Danio rerio: one gene and its partners. The protein of the gene in region 3 purifies or fractionates together with the protein of the main gene of each other region. This does not show direct contact. Links are inferred from orthologs where the notes say so. Each region holds a gene or a part of one and is shown on either strand. Other genes may lie near its edges.

Region 1 (4,439 bases), on a different chromosome or scaffold from region 3:
GCTCTGTTAAACATCATTTGGGAAAGATTTTTTAAAAAAAATACTAAAAAAAATTCACAGAAGGCCGAATAATTTTGACTTCAACTGTATTTGAACTCAATAAGGTCAGTTGTAAAGCAGCAGTCCGCGAGTTCTGTCTCAGTTTGAAAATGCGCGATTGTGGTTATTTGCACTGGTGTAGATACTGGCCTAGACACTTTCACTCAATTAGTAATTTTAACTGGAGAATGTCATCTGAACAAGCAATAAAATACATCGGCCACTTTTGTTTTGACCAAATCTGAGGGGGAAAGTAATACAATAAATTGTGCAATGAGCTGATCTAACCATCATCAATTAGCTTATTTCACAACAAACTGTAAATTATTACCCTGTTCTGACATTGTAAGACAATTTGTAAAATTATGACAAGCCTGTCATTGTGTATTCGGCTAAGGTATGGACAGTTTAGAAATTTTTATCTTGGGGTATTTTTTCAGTAATTTGGGGTCATTTAGTACCAAAAAAGGAAAGAAATTGAATACTTTGTAATGTCAACACTCATGTTGCTCTTCTCATAAGTATTCTTTATTATTATAACATCTTCATTCATTCAGTCAGTCATTTATTTTCTTTTCGGCTTAGCCCCTTTTTTCATCAGGGGTCAACACAGCGGTGTGAACCGCCAACTTATCCAGCATATGTTTTACGCAACAGATGCCCTTCCAGCTGCAACCCATCACTGGGAAACACCCATACACATTCACACACATACATTATGGCCAATTTAGACTACCTACAGCACACTTTGGACTGTGGGAGAAACCGGCGCACCCAGAGGAAACCCACGTGAACACAGGGAAAACATGCAAGCTCCACACAGAAATGCCCAGCCGAGGCTCAAACCAGCGACCTTCTTGCTGTGAGGCGATCATGCTATCCACTGCTCACCCATGTCACCTTATTGTTTATAAATTAACTATAATTGGTCATTCAAAATGTTAAATTGAAAAGGGACAGAGCAAAGAGACACACCTCTCGGTCCAAATCCATGTCGCTCATCAAAGCGTCCCAGACCAGCAAACATCTCCTCCATGTCTCTGAAGATCTGGCCGAACATCTGAGGCTCTTCAAAGCGTGCCCCGCCTGGACCGAAACTGAATCCAAACCTGAAGGCATCGTCAAACGGATCCCGATGGGGTCTGTTAAAGTCATCCTCGTCTTCATCATCATCATCTTCATGAATCATTCCATCAAAGAAGGGGTCCCTGTATTAAAAAAAACCATGATTCAAATTGTCAGACCACTCTAAACTAAACATCACTGTAGCTGATTAATCTGGCGCAATATAGGACAAATTAATATTATTTATGCCAACAAGGTCTACATTTAAAAGAAAAAAAATCATTATTTATGTTGATTACCATTACACCAAAAGTGCTTACAGTTATATGCAAAGTGCCGTTGGATTTTTAACCACCATTAAAAACCCTTTGTATAGTTTAAAATATATTTAATCTAGGTTTGGTGTAAAAACAATAATAGTTAATTAAAGAAAATAAAGATAAGTGTAACATCAAGTGACAGGTAATGAAAATATCTTAATTATTACTAAAAATTATGAATGTTTATTTAACAAATATAACATTTTAGCATGCAAGTCTAAGCATGATTTTAAGATAAATATTCTTGGGTCAAAAAATATGCTGCTTATATTCTGTTGCTCTGCTTTTTTTTTGGGTGGGGGGGTTCATAAAACTACATCCAGTGTACATATTTGTACAGGGCATCACGGTGGTGCAGTGGGTAGCAAGATCGCCTCACAGCAGGAAGGTCGCAGAGTCTCGGCTGGGTCAGTTGGCATTTCTGTGTGGAGTTTGCATGTTCTCCCTGTGTTGGCGTGGGTTTCCCCCATATTCCAAAGACATGTGGAACAGGTGAATTGAAGCTAAATTGGCCATAGTGTATGCGTGCTTCCCAGAGTTGGATTGCAGCTGGAAGGTCATCCGCTGCGTACAACATATGCTGGATGAGTTGGCGGTTTATTCGGCTGTGGTGACCACTGATTACTAAAGGGACTAAGCCGAAAAGAAAATTAATATTCTTTTATCTTTTCTTTCATATTTCTTCTCTTTATATTAGGATATTCTGATGTCATCTGTTGCTGAATTTTTCATACTTATTACTACTTTAAAATGTGAAACCGCAATAATTAAGTCTCATTTAATTAAAGTACTTATGAAGAGGTGTGTGTTAATGTTTCAAGGAGCAACACGGTGTTTACCATTTCATGTTCTGGTGTGTCAAAATAAAAGTGAAAGAATGTTCCATATGGCTTCACATCTCTACATCTCAGCTGTTACTTACTCGAAAATAAAACTGGACCAAATAATCTGTGTACTTGCAAAGTTATTGTCTATCTAACATATATATTAAAACTTATAATGACACGAACATAATTTAATTTCAATATATAAACGCTTTTGTTTATTTAAAAATGTTTAAATGTTACTTGTATTAAAACCATTAACGATACAAAAACCTCAAGAAAGCGAGATGAATTATATTAGATTACATAACTTCTACACACAAGATTACCATTTAAACGATCATCGTTTTGCTTTAACCATTATGCTATTAACTTAACACAAAGGATGCAATTCACAAGTTACAAACCGTAATATTTGCAGATAAAATATAAATTAAGTACATAACGCACAGAACAACACAAAATACACGTGGTTATATATTTAAACATTATCTGTTTAACAGCAGCAGCTGTCAGGTGACGTTTGAACTTATTTTAACAATTTGACAAACTCACCTGCGGCCATCTTCTCGATAATGACCTCCGGGAACCCCGAAAAACCCACGAAACAGATCAAAAACGCTCATTTATGGACAGAATCCTGAGACCTTCACAAAATGCCACCATAACAAACAGAGTTGCATCAGAGATTAGCGCAGGAAGAACAGTGAGGAAACCTACTAGAGCTTTCCACCTGCTTCCGCACAAGTTTCAAAATTAAAGTCCCACACGGCATGATGTGTTCCTTCTTGCGTCTGTTATCTTTTAACGCTTTCTTTCTAAACAAATGCTTAAGTCAATTAAGTTGGATTATATTTAGTTACATAAAGTATCGATACTGTAAAATGAACCTTATGAAATTTAAAACGATTACATACACGTTTTACCGGAAGTTTATCGGCTGCATTTTGAAATTAAAAGTATATACTAAACTTTCGATAGTTCACAAATAACCAAACGTTACCAACAAGGTAATGTCATCATGGTTATACGCTGTAAAAAAAATCTAAACTATTTCTATAACTATTTGTAAAAAAAAAAAAAAAAAAAAAAAAAAAAAAAAAAAGTGTTTAATTTGTTTCAGACCGGTTAGTTTGTTTCTACTGTAAATAACAAGAATGCTGGAAACAAGTAGCCGTTGACTTTTATAGTTATTTATTTATTTTCCCCTTCTATAGAGGTAAGTAGCTACCTATTTCTAATATTCTTAAATATCTGTGTTCAACAGAAAAACAGACTATATTTATGTTATGTAGGATATGTATGGGAGAAATAAAGGACTTATACTATCAAAATGTGCAAGTTTAAACATTCATGAAGATTTTAAAATTGCTTAATTTTAATTCATCAAGTTTAAAAGTAATATCTTTGAATAAATTCTATTAAATTACTGTGTTAAGTAAAAAATATGTATTTTTAAATAAAGAGGTTTTATATTGTTGGCAAGTTAAAAAGTTAAATAAAAAGCACATCAAAAATTTAAATCTACCTTACTTTATCTGTAATCTAGTATTGGATTAGATATTTAGGTAATCTACATATGCATCGTAAACCAAATTATTTAAATATATTCTACATCCAGCAACTGTGGTAAGATTTGTATTCAGACACTTAACTATCATTTCAGTCCTATTTTTACATAATAAATTGAGAAACCAATACATTTTAAACCCCAAGGCAACAGGGCTCCTTGTATTAGATTTAAAAAATAAGATGTGAATGTACATTTGCAAAGCAACACTTGACGTGATCAACCTGAACAAAGAAGCAGACTGCAGTTAAAGAGGCACACAAACTTCGGTTTTCTTAAAAAAGACATTCACATCCCAAAAAAATGATGAAAATGTCTTTTTCTTGTTTATTTACTTAATATTTATATATATATTTTTTACAAAATAAAAAAACATTATGAAACAAAACGAAATGCTAACAAGTCTGTGTAGGGATTCGAGAGGGGAGAAAAGAAGCCATCAAACAAACAGACTACAGTACTTGTGTTTTTTATATATATATATATATGTACAAGACAAGTTTATCCATTTAAATCTTTTTAAAACGCACAGTACAAAAAGAAAGTCACTGACAAAGAAAAAAAAAACAAACAAAAAGAAAATACCCATAGTACAATTCTGTCCATCAGCACTTTCCTAAT
Region 2 (3,656 bases), on a different chromosome or scaffold from region 3:
TAAAATGTTATTTACTCTCATCATGGCAAAGCTAAAATAAATCAGTTATTAGAAATGAGTTATTAAAACTATTATGATTAGAAATGTGTTTAAACTTCGCTCTGTTAAATAAAATAATTCAGGGGAGCTAATTATTCTGACTTTAACTGTATATGGCTAATTTGGTTCTAAAAAAAAGGGAGAATTAGTCTTGGGTAATCTGCAGCAATCTCAGTATAACTGAGTACACCCCATTTTGAAAATGAATATTTTTATCCATTCTCAGTGAATATGGGTAATATATATTGGCGCATTTGAACAAAACAGATTAATTTAACGGATATATTTATTAAAATTATATTTAGTCAAATAACATCTTTTACAAATGGAATTATTAGCTCCAGATTTGGCTTCAGTACTGACTAATTTAATGTTTTTGCACAAATATAACACTGAAAAGCATCCTATAGAAATTATTAATTTAAATGAGAGATTTGTGAGGGGTGTACTCATATATGCCGAGCACTGTATTTACTATATTTCATCTGATACAAATATAAGAAATATAGTAGTGTCATTTACAACTGCATAATTATAAAATGCCAAGAAAAGAAATGACTGACTCACCTGCTTGTTTAGAGGTCTGAATAAACATTCTCTCCAAGTGACCAAAGCAAGCTGAAAAGCACAAACATTATTTTATATAGTTTATTACTAAAACAGATATAAAACACACAATATTATTAAAAACTATTTACAAAAGCAAAATATTAGATTTGTGACAGAATTTGAGAGAAATTAAACAATAACATTAGTAAATATAGCTATTATTAGCATTCAATTATTTAATTACTATTAATTCAGGGCTGAACAATAAAGATTTTACCTGCTACCATTTAAATCTAAATAATATAATCACAATAAATAAACAGTTAGGTTTTTTATAGCACAGCAACACATAAACATGTTCAACACATCAAGCCAACTGGTCAAATGACAGATCTTTTATCAGCTAACAACGGACCATGGCAAGCATTAATCAAAAATACTGCTGATGGGTGATCGCAGGTATGGTCTGTTGGCTGTTATATGCAATAAATTGAATTGAAATACTACAAGGTTTAGTCATCACTCAGTCTGATGAACACAATGTATAGAAATGTAAAACAGGAAGCAATGAGTCAGGCAGGGGCGTGCGCTGTTTCTCTCACCGAGTAGATTTCATAAATTCCTTTCCGTCCCTCATCACACTCCCGACGCACCCAGTGTCTGTTGAGGTAAGCACAGATCCCATCTAACACTTTACTGGAGAAGCGATAGTCCTCCCACTGCTGTGTGTAGAACTTTAGCACGCTCTCATCCATCAGGTCCTCTCCATCCTGCCAGACACACACAGATGGAGGAGAGAAACAGGTGGAGAAGTGAGCGAGGTCTGGAGAACTGACAACTCATACTGCTTTGCATTTTAACAAGGCATGGAAAACTACTAAGCCTGATGTTTTTTTTAAATAAACAAATACTTATTAGTTATGGAAAGCCATGTTGTGTAATGATTAGCCAGTGTTAATATGGTACAATTAATTTATTTATGCAACATTAGCATAATAAAATCCTCACAAATATTGCAAAATGTACTAAAACTAATTCTTACATTTTGATTTCTAATATAAATCTTGTATGAATTGCATAAGTGTAAACCAAACCAATTGTGGTATTGCGAAAGTAGAACTGTTTGCTTAGAAATATATATATATATATACATACAGTTAAAGTCAGAATTATTAGCCCCCCTGAATTTTTCGACCGCTTGTTTATTTTTTCCCCAGTTTCTGTTTAATGGAGAGCAGATTTTTTCAACACATTTCTAAACATAACAGTTTTAATAACTGATTTATTTGATCTTTGCCATGATTGTAAATAATATTTGACTAGATATTTTTAAGACACTTCTATACAGCTAAAAGTGACATTTAAAGGCTTATCTAGGTTAATTAGGTTACCTAGGCAGGTAAGTGTAATTAGGCAAGTTATTGTATATCAGTGGTTTGTTCTGTAGATTATCGAGAACAAATATAGCTTAAAGGGGCTAATAATTTTGTCCCTAAAATTATGTTTAAAAAATTAAAAACTGCTTTTATTCTAGCCGAAATAAGTCTTGTTTCTGTAGAAACAAGACTTTCTACAGAAGAAAATATATTATCGGACATACGGTGAAAATTTCCTTGCTCTGTTAGACATAATATATATATATATATATATATATATATATATATATATATATATATATATATATATATATATATATATATATATATATATAAATATAAATATATATTAATATATATATATATATATATATATATATATATATATATATATATATATATATTAATATATATATATATATATATATATTAATATATATATATATATATATATATATATATATATATATATATATATATATATATATATATATATATATATATATATATATTATGTCTAACAGAGCAAGGAAATTTTGCTCTGTTGTCAATAAGGGAGCAAAACGTTGTGCTTTAACCAAAAATACACAGTTACGTTTAAAAGATGCTTTATGTCATTATTCATCTGGGAGTTAAAAGAATATGTTGTAAATACATTTGACCTTTTACCATTTCGGACTGAATCATTTTGACAAGTATATTATGTATACCAATAGATCAACAACTTGATAAAAGTTTATCAAGTTAATCAGGGTTCAAGTGAATTGTTTTAGCTATACAAAGTTTAACATAATATTTTAGTCAGTTTGACTGATTTAAGTAGATATACCTAACCAAGTTAATTTGATTTAACTTAAATAAGGTTTACAGTGTAAATATAAACATGTGAGTTTCATAAATTTAGCTTGTTTTTGAGCAATAATTACTTAAAGGCCTGTCACAATAATCAATATTTTGACTTATCGCACAACACATGGACACGACCTCAACCATTTTCAGTTATGCAATATACAATTAAAGTCAGAATTTTTTTTTCTTCTTTAAATATTTCCCAAATTATGTCTAACAGACCAAAATAATTTTTTACAGCATGTCTGATAATATTTTTTCTTCAGGAGAAAGTCTTGTTTTTTATTTCGGCCAAAATAAAAGCAGTTTAGAATTTTTTAAAAAACATTTTAGGGACAAAATTATTAGCCCCTTTAAGCTATATTTTTTCTCGATAATCTACAGAACAAACCACTGTTATAAAATAACTTGCCTAATTCCCCTAACCTGCCTAACTTTATTAACCTAGTTAAGCCTTTAAATGTCACTTTAAGCTGTACAGAAGTGTCTTGAAAAATATATAGTCAAATATTATTTACAGTCATCATGGTAAAGATAAAACAAATCAGTTATTAAAATGAGTTATAAAACTATTACGTTAAGAAAAGTGTTGAAAACAGAAACTGGGGGAAAAAAATAAACAGGGGTGCTAATAATTCAGGGGGGTTATAATTCTGATTTCAACCGTGTATCGCCCATACATAAAAATTTTTTTAGCAACATTTTAGCTGATGGGCAACATCTCTATCAGATGTGTCAGTGTCAGTATGGTAAAAAAACACTATAGTATTTACTATGAATTACTATAGTATATTTTCATGCTGATGCCTGACAACTGAAAATAGATCTGGAAGCAGATTTCGC
Region 3 (4,278 bases):
TTTGACAATCCAAACAGACCCCCAGCTCTCCAAAGCAGACTATATTGCAATTTCATATCAGCACATCGATAATAAAATGCTTTTCTGTGTGTGTTTGTGTCATGGATATTGCTGCTGAATTTATCTGTGAAGCTGGAACTTCTGCAGGTTTCACCAAGTTAAATTTAAGACTTTTTAAGACATTTTGACCATTATGTACAAATTTTAGACTCATACAGGGCTAAACCCTAAAGAATTTTTTAAATGGCCCAGATAAAAAAAAATATTTATTTTTGCACTATAAAAAATTATATAATTTAATAATACTATGATAATTGAATAACAAATTTAAATATCTATTAGCAAAATATTGTGTCAAAACAAGCAAGTTCTAGCTGCAAACACTCTTTTTTTCAACATAGACTTTCTGAAAAATGGACAAATGTTTTAAAAGTTATTATAATAAACTAAATGTATGCAAAACAGTCCATCCAGGTTAGTGTCCTAAGCAGTAAATACAAGTGGAACTTTTAAATAATAATAATTATTATTATTAGGAAAATAATTAAACAATTATGGTAAATGGAGTTAAACAGGACATTTGTAAATAAAAGATGGATTGTTGGTGATTATATGGATGTTAATGGCCAGATTGGGTAACTATTTATAAACAACTGAAAATTAAGACCTGTTTAAAAAGATTTAAGACCTACAACACAATATTTTAATAGATTAAAGACTTTATGGCCTAACATTTAGCTTTGGAAATTTAAAACATTTTAGGACTTTAAGACCCCGCGAACACCATGTGGAACATTGCATTTTATCCTGTATAAAAATACCATTCAGACGTACCTTTATCATCAAGAAGAATATTCTCAGGCTTTATGTCACGATGTGTAATCCCAACACTGTGAAGATATTCCTGTAAGTGAGATGGAGCAAGTTTCACAACAAAGTCAACTTTGAAGAGTAAATGGTTCTCAAAATACACCATAAAAAAAAAAAAAAAAAAAAAAAAAAAGATCACAAATCTTACCACACCAGCTATCAGCTGCTGAAAAAACCTGTGCGCCTCCTTTTCTGGCATCCCAACATCCGGTTCTGTCAGAAAGATTGACAAAATATACTTTAGATAAATTTTAGGTATTTTAATGCCTTTATTTTAATAAATCAATTCTGACAAGAAAGCAAAGGATGGGAACATTTGTTTTTTTTACAGTTGATTTACTCACAGGGCTCAACAACAAGGACTGCCTGATGGCCCGGGGCCAGCGTGAGAGACACTTGGGATAGTAGACAGGATCATTACGATTGGGAAAGTGCTGCCTTGTCACTAAAGCTTAATTGACCTGCGATTATTGGTCAAATGCAAGCATTTTAAGTTTGTGTTTTTAAGTCTTTAAATGCTACCTTTTCTGTGATGTCGTAAACACCATATTGTTTTTTGGTTGCTCTTATCTGATTTTGTGTATTGAGCATGCTATATTTTTCCCCATAACCTGGTAACAACCAGTGGTGAAGTGACAGCAACATCAAAATATAAGGATAAAAGAAAATGTCTGTGTTTAACATCTTAGAAGCAGACATTTACATGGGTACAACATGAGAAAAATGAAGTAATGTTTTGCACAATTTGCCGTCAGTATTACAAGTCGGCCACCATTTTTTATATAATTTCAAACTGCAATAAAAAACCTGCACATTTTCCGTACTGCTCTTTTTGTTTGCACAACACTGAGAATTTTGCTCATTATAAATATTTATTTTCTAGATTCACAGACATTATTTATGTCACATTATTTAAAATATGTGGCTAAAAAAAAGCTATTAACTTCTCTTTTTTGTTTTTGGGCCTGTAAAAATTTTTGTCAGGGCAAGTAAAAATATGAATCATTGGCCCGATCAGACCAGTAGAAAAACTCCCCAGCGTTGAACCCTGACTCATCTACACGACTCAAAAACAAAAAGGATGCAACAATTATTGAATGAACCCAAAATGTTCAATTACCTATTCGGTCAAAGAGCTCTCCTCCGCTACAGTACTCCAGAAAGATGTACTGTGTCGTCCCCTCACTCCTGTGCCCAAAGAAACGTACAATGTTGGGGTGTGAAAGCATCTTGCATATGCAGACCTCCTTCTTCACATTCTCGATGCAATCCTTGGCTTTTGCCATGTCCACAACTTTCACCGCCACAGCCTCTTCTGTCTTCTTGTTGACCAGCAGTCGCACCCTACAATGATTTGAAGCAGATTAATACAATTTTAAGACTGCAACTGATCAAGATGGAACGAATATGAAGTGCATTGGTCACTTACTCTCCATATGCTCCCTCTCCAAGAGTTTGTACCACATCCCAGTCTTTAACAAAAGGCACAGCCATTATGCAATCTGTGGGCATAAGTCAGTCAGAACAACCTTGTAAAAGCAAATCAGCATAACAAGCTAATAGACTATAACACTTACAGGACATATGTTAGTTTTTAGTAAATAAATATAACAGTAAACATGATAAATGTTACGGGGCAGGCAATTGTAAACAGTGAAACGTCAAATCTGATAGCTTTGGGCTGTCGGATATTAGTTTTAATTTAGCTAAAACAAACATACCTTCGCGTATATCAGAGGTAACGTTGTCCCATGTGAAGCGGTTTGTTAATGTAATTTGTTGTTATAATCACACACCCCCTTGATAAGTGTCTATGCAGACATAATAATACAAGAGCGTCTGTCCAAACTTTGGCGCCTTCTAGAGACGTGACATCATCGGAAATGCTAAGAGGAAAGAATTTTCAAAATAAAAGCTTAAACCGCTAACATGAGGGACAACTTTTTGCGTTATTCATTCATTCAATTATTTTCTTTTCGGCATAGTCAATCTTGGGTCGCCACAGCGGAACGAACCGCCAACTTATATAGCACATGTTTTACGTAGCGGATGCCCTTCCAGCTGAAACCCATCACTGGGAAACTTTTTAGCATTATGTTATATAGAATTATTAAGAACAACCACAACATGCGAAATATAAAAAAAAAAGAAGAAGAAGATTTTTATATCCCTGTTGTGTTTCTTTCATTTGAATTGTACTGTAAAAATATTTTTTGATTTAGTTTTTTATAACTGTCATATTAATGTATACAACAGCAGTATTTAACATTAGCTATATAAGCAAAAGATGAATATGATAAGTATTTTATGCGTTTTACGTTTTCATGTTATTATTTATAAATAAGAAGAACACAAGAAATAATCATGAAATAAACCGTTTATGTAGGGGCTTTTATTTTATTTTCTAACATAAAAGCCCGTCAATAAGTGGGCAAAAGTTCACGGCAGTAGTTTATTTCTAGCATTTCGATATATTTAAAATAATATTTTACAATTATAAGCTAACATAATTATCATCATCATCACATAACTATAGGCGCACATGGGAGGCGCAGATAGGCTGATGCAAAGAGCATAGAGTGATTCTAAGCTCTTTGGCTGATGTATCGAAGTGGTCCTTTTTCGTTGTTATGGCAACATCACTTCAGTTCCGTAAACACAACTTCATTTATTGAGTGTTAGACGGTCGTTTCTAAAGCTGTCTTGAGTGTCAGAAATTAGTAAACCATTTAAAGGGTAAACCTAAATAAATAAGGTAAGAAAAAAATTAACAATGTTGACAGCCCAAAGAAGCAGGATTCGGTGTCGCGAAATTACTGGACCTGCACATTCAGTGGCATTGGTGAGTTATTTGTGTTGACCATTATTAACGTTACATGTTTTATATTGAATATATTAACGTCATAATAATTATACAATAATAATTCTAATAGTCATATAGTAATAAATAACCTTACAATCAGGCCTACTATATCATAACAGACAGGCATATACTATACATTAATGTATACAATGATAGGCCTACTATTTTATAATATTATGCTATAGTAACTATAGTAAAACATTTTCATTATACATAAATTTTATGTGCCCAAAGAGAAATCTATCTATCTATCTATCTATCTATCTATCTATCTATCTATCTATCTATCTATCTATCTATCTATCTATCTATCTATCTATCTATCTTTCTATCTATCTATCTATCTATCTATCTATCTATCTATCAACATTAGATAGACATTAACATAAGTTTGTCTTCAGTAAAAGAGAGAAGGTAGAAAGATAGAAAAGACATTTATATGAATGGAGCTTTTATGAATTCACTCCAAATTTGTACATTTCAGAAAGCAAGACCTCCTTTATCCAGAGACATAGATGACATATTTGTAAGGAGAAGGAAGCAGG

The links.
Region 1: the proteins of chek1 (region 3) and hax1 purify together in Homo sapiens (affinity purification with mass spectrometry; 3 studies listed by BioGRID and IntAct, with this or other methods). This does not show direct contact. The link is inferred for Danio rerio from reciprocal best matches to the Homo sapiens genes CHEK1 and HAX1.
Region 2: the proteins of chek1 (region 3) and cul1b purify together in Homo sapiens (affinity purification with western blotting; 6 studies listed by BioGRID and IntAct, with this or other methods). This does not show direct contact. The link is inferred for Danio rerio from reciprocal best matches to the Homo sapiens genes CHEK1 and CUL1.

What each region holds. Positions count from the first base shown.
Region 1 is NC_133194.1:8,853,881-8,858,319, reverse strand, and holds the start of hax1 (HCLS1-associated protein X-1), read right to left. Parts: upstream 2,937-4,439; 5' UTR 2,875-2,936; coding exon 2,804-2,874; intron 1,248-2,803; coding exon 1,015-1,247; intron 1-1,014. UniProt on the Homo sapiens protein: Recruits the Arp2/3 complex to the cell cortex and regulates reorganization of the cortical actin cytoskeleton via its interaction with KCNC3 and the Arp2/3 complex. Slows down the rate of inactivation of KCNC3 channels. Promotes GNA13-mediated cell migration.
Region 2 is NC_133199.1:21,249,728-21,253,383, forward strand, and holds part of cul1b (cullin-1b), read right to left. Parts: intron 1,359-3,656; coding exon 1,191-1,358; intron 658-1,190; coding exon 607-657; intron 1-606. UniProt on the Homo sapiens protein: Core component of multiple cullin-RING-based SCF (SKP1-CUL1-F-box protein) E3 ubiquitin-protein ligase complexes, which mediate the ubiquitination of proteins involved in cell cycle progression, signal transduction and transcription.
Region 3 is NC_133196.1:24,017,289-24,021,566, reverse strand, and holds the start of chek1 (serine/threonine-protein kinase Chk1), read right to left. Parts: upstream 2,822-4,278; 5' UTR 2,592-2,821; intron 2,373-2,591; 5' UTR 2,365-2,372; coding exon 2,300-2,364; intron 2,215-2,299; coding exon 2,059-2,214; coding exon of another isoform or gene 1,991-2,058; intron 1,084-1,990; coding exon of another isoform or gene 1,019-1,083; intron 905-1,018; coding exon of another isoform or gene 891-904; coding exon 835-890; intron 1-834. UniProt on the Homo sapiens protein: Serine/threonine-protein kinase which is required for checkpoint-mediated cell cycle arrest and activation of DNA repair in response to the presence of DNA damage or unreplicated DNA.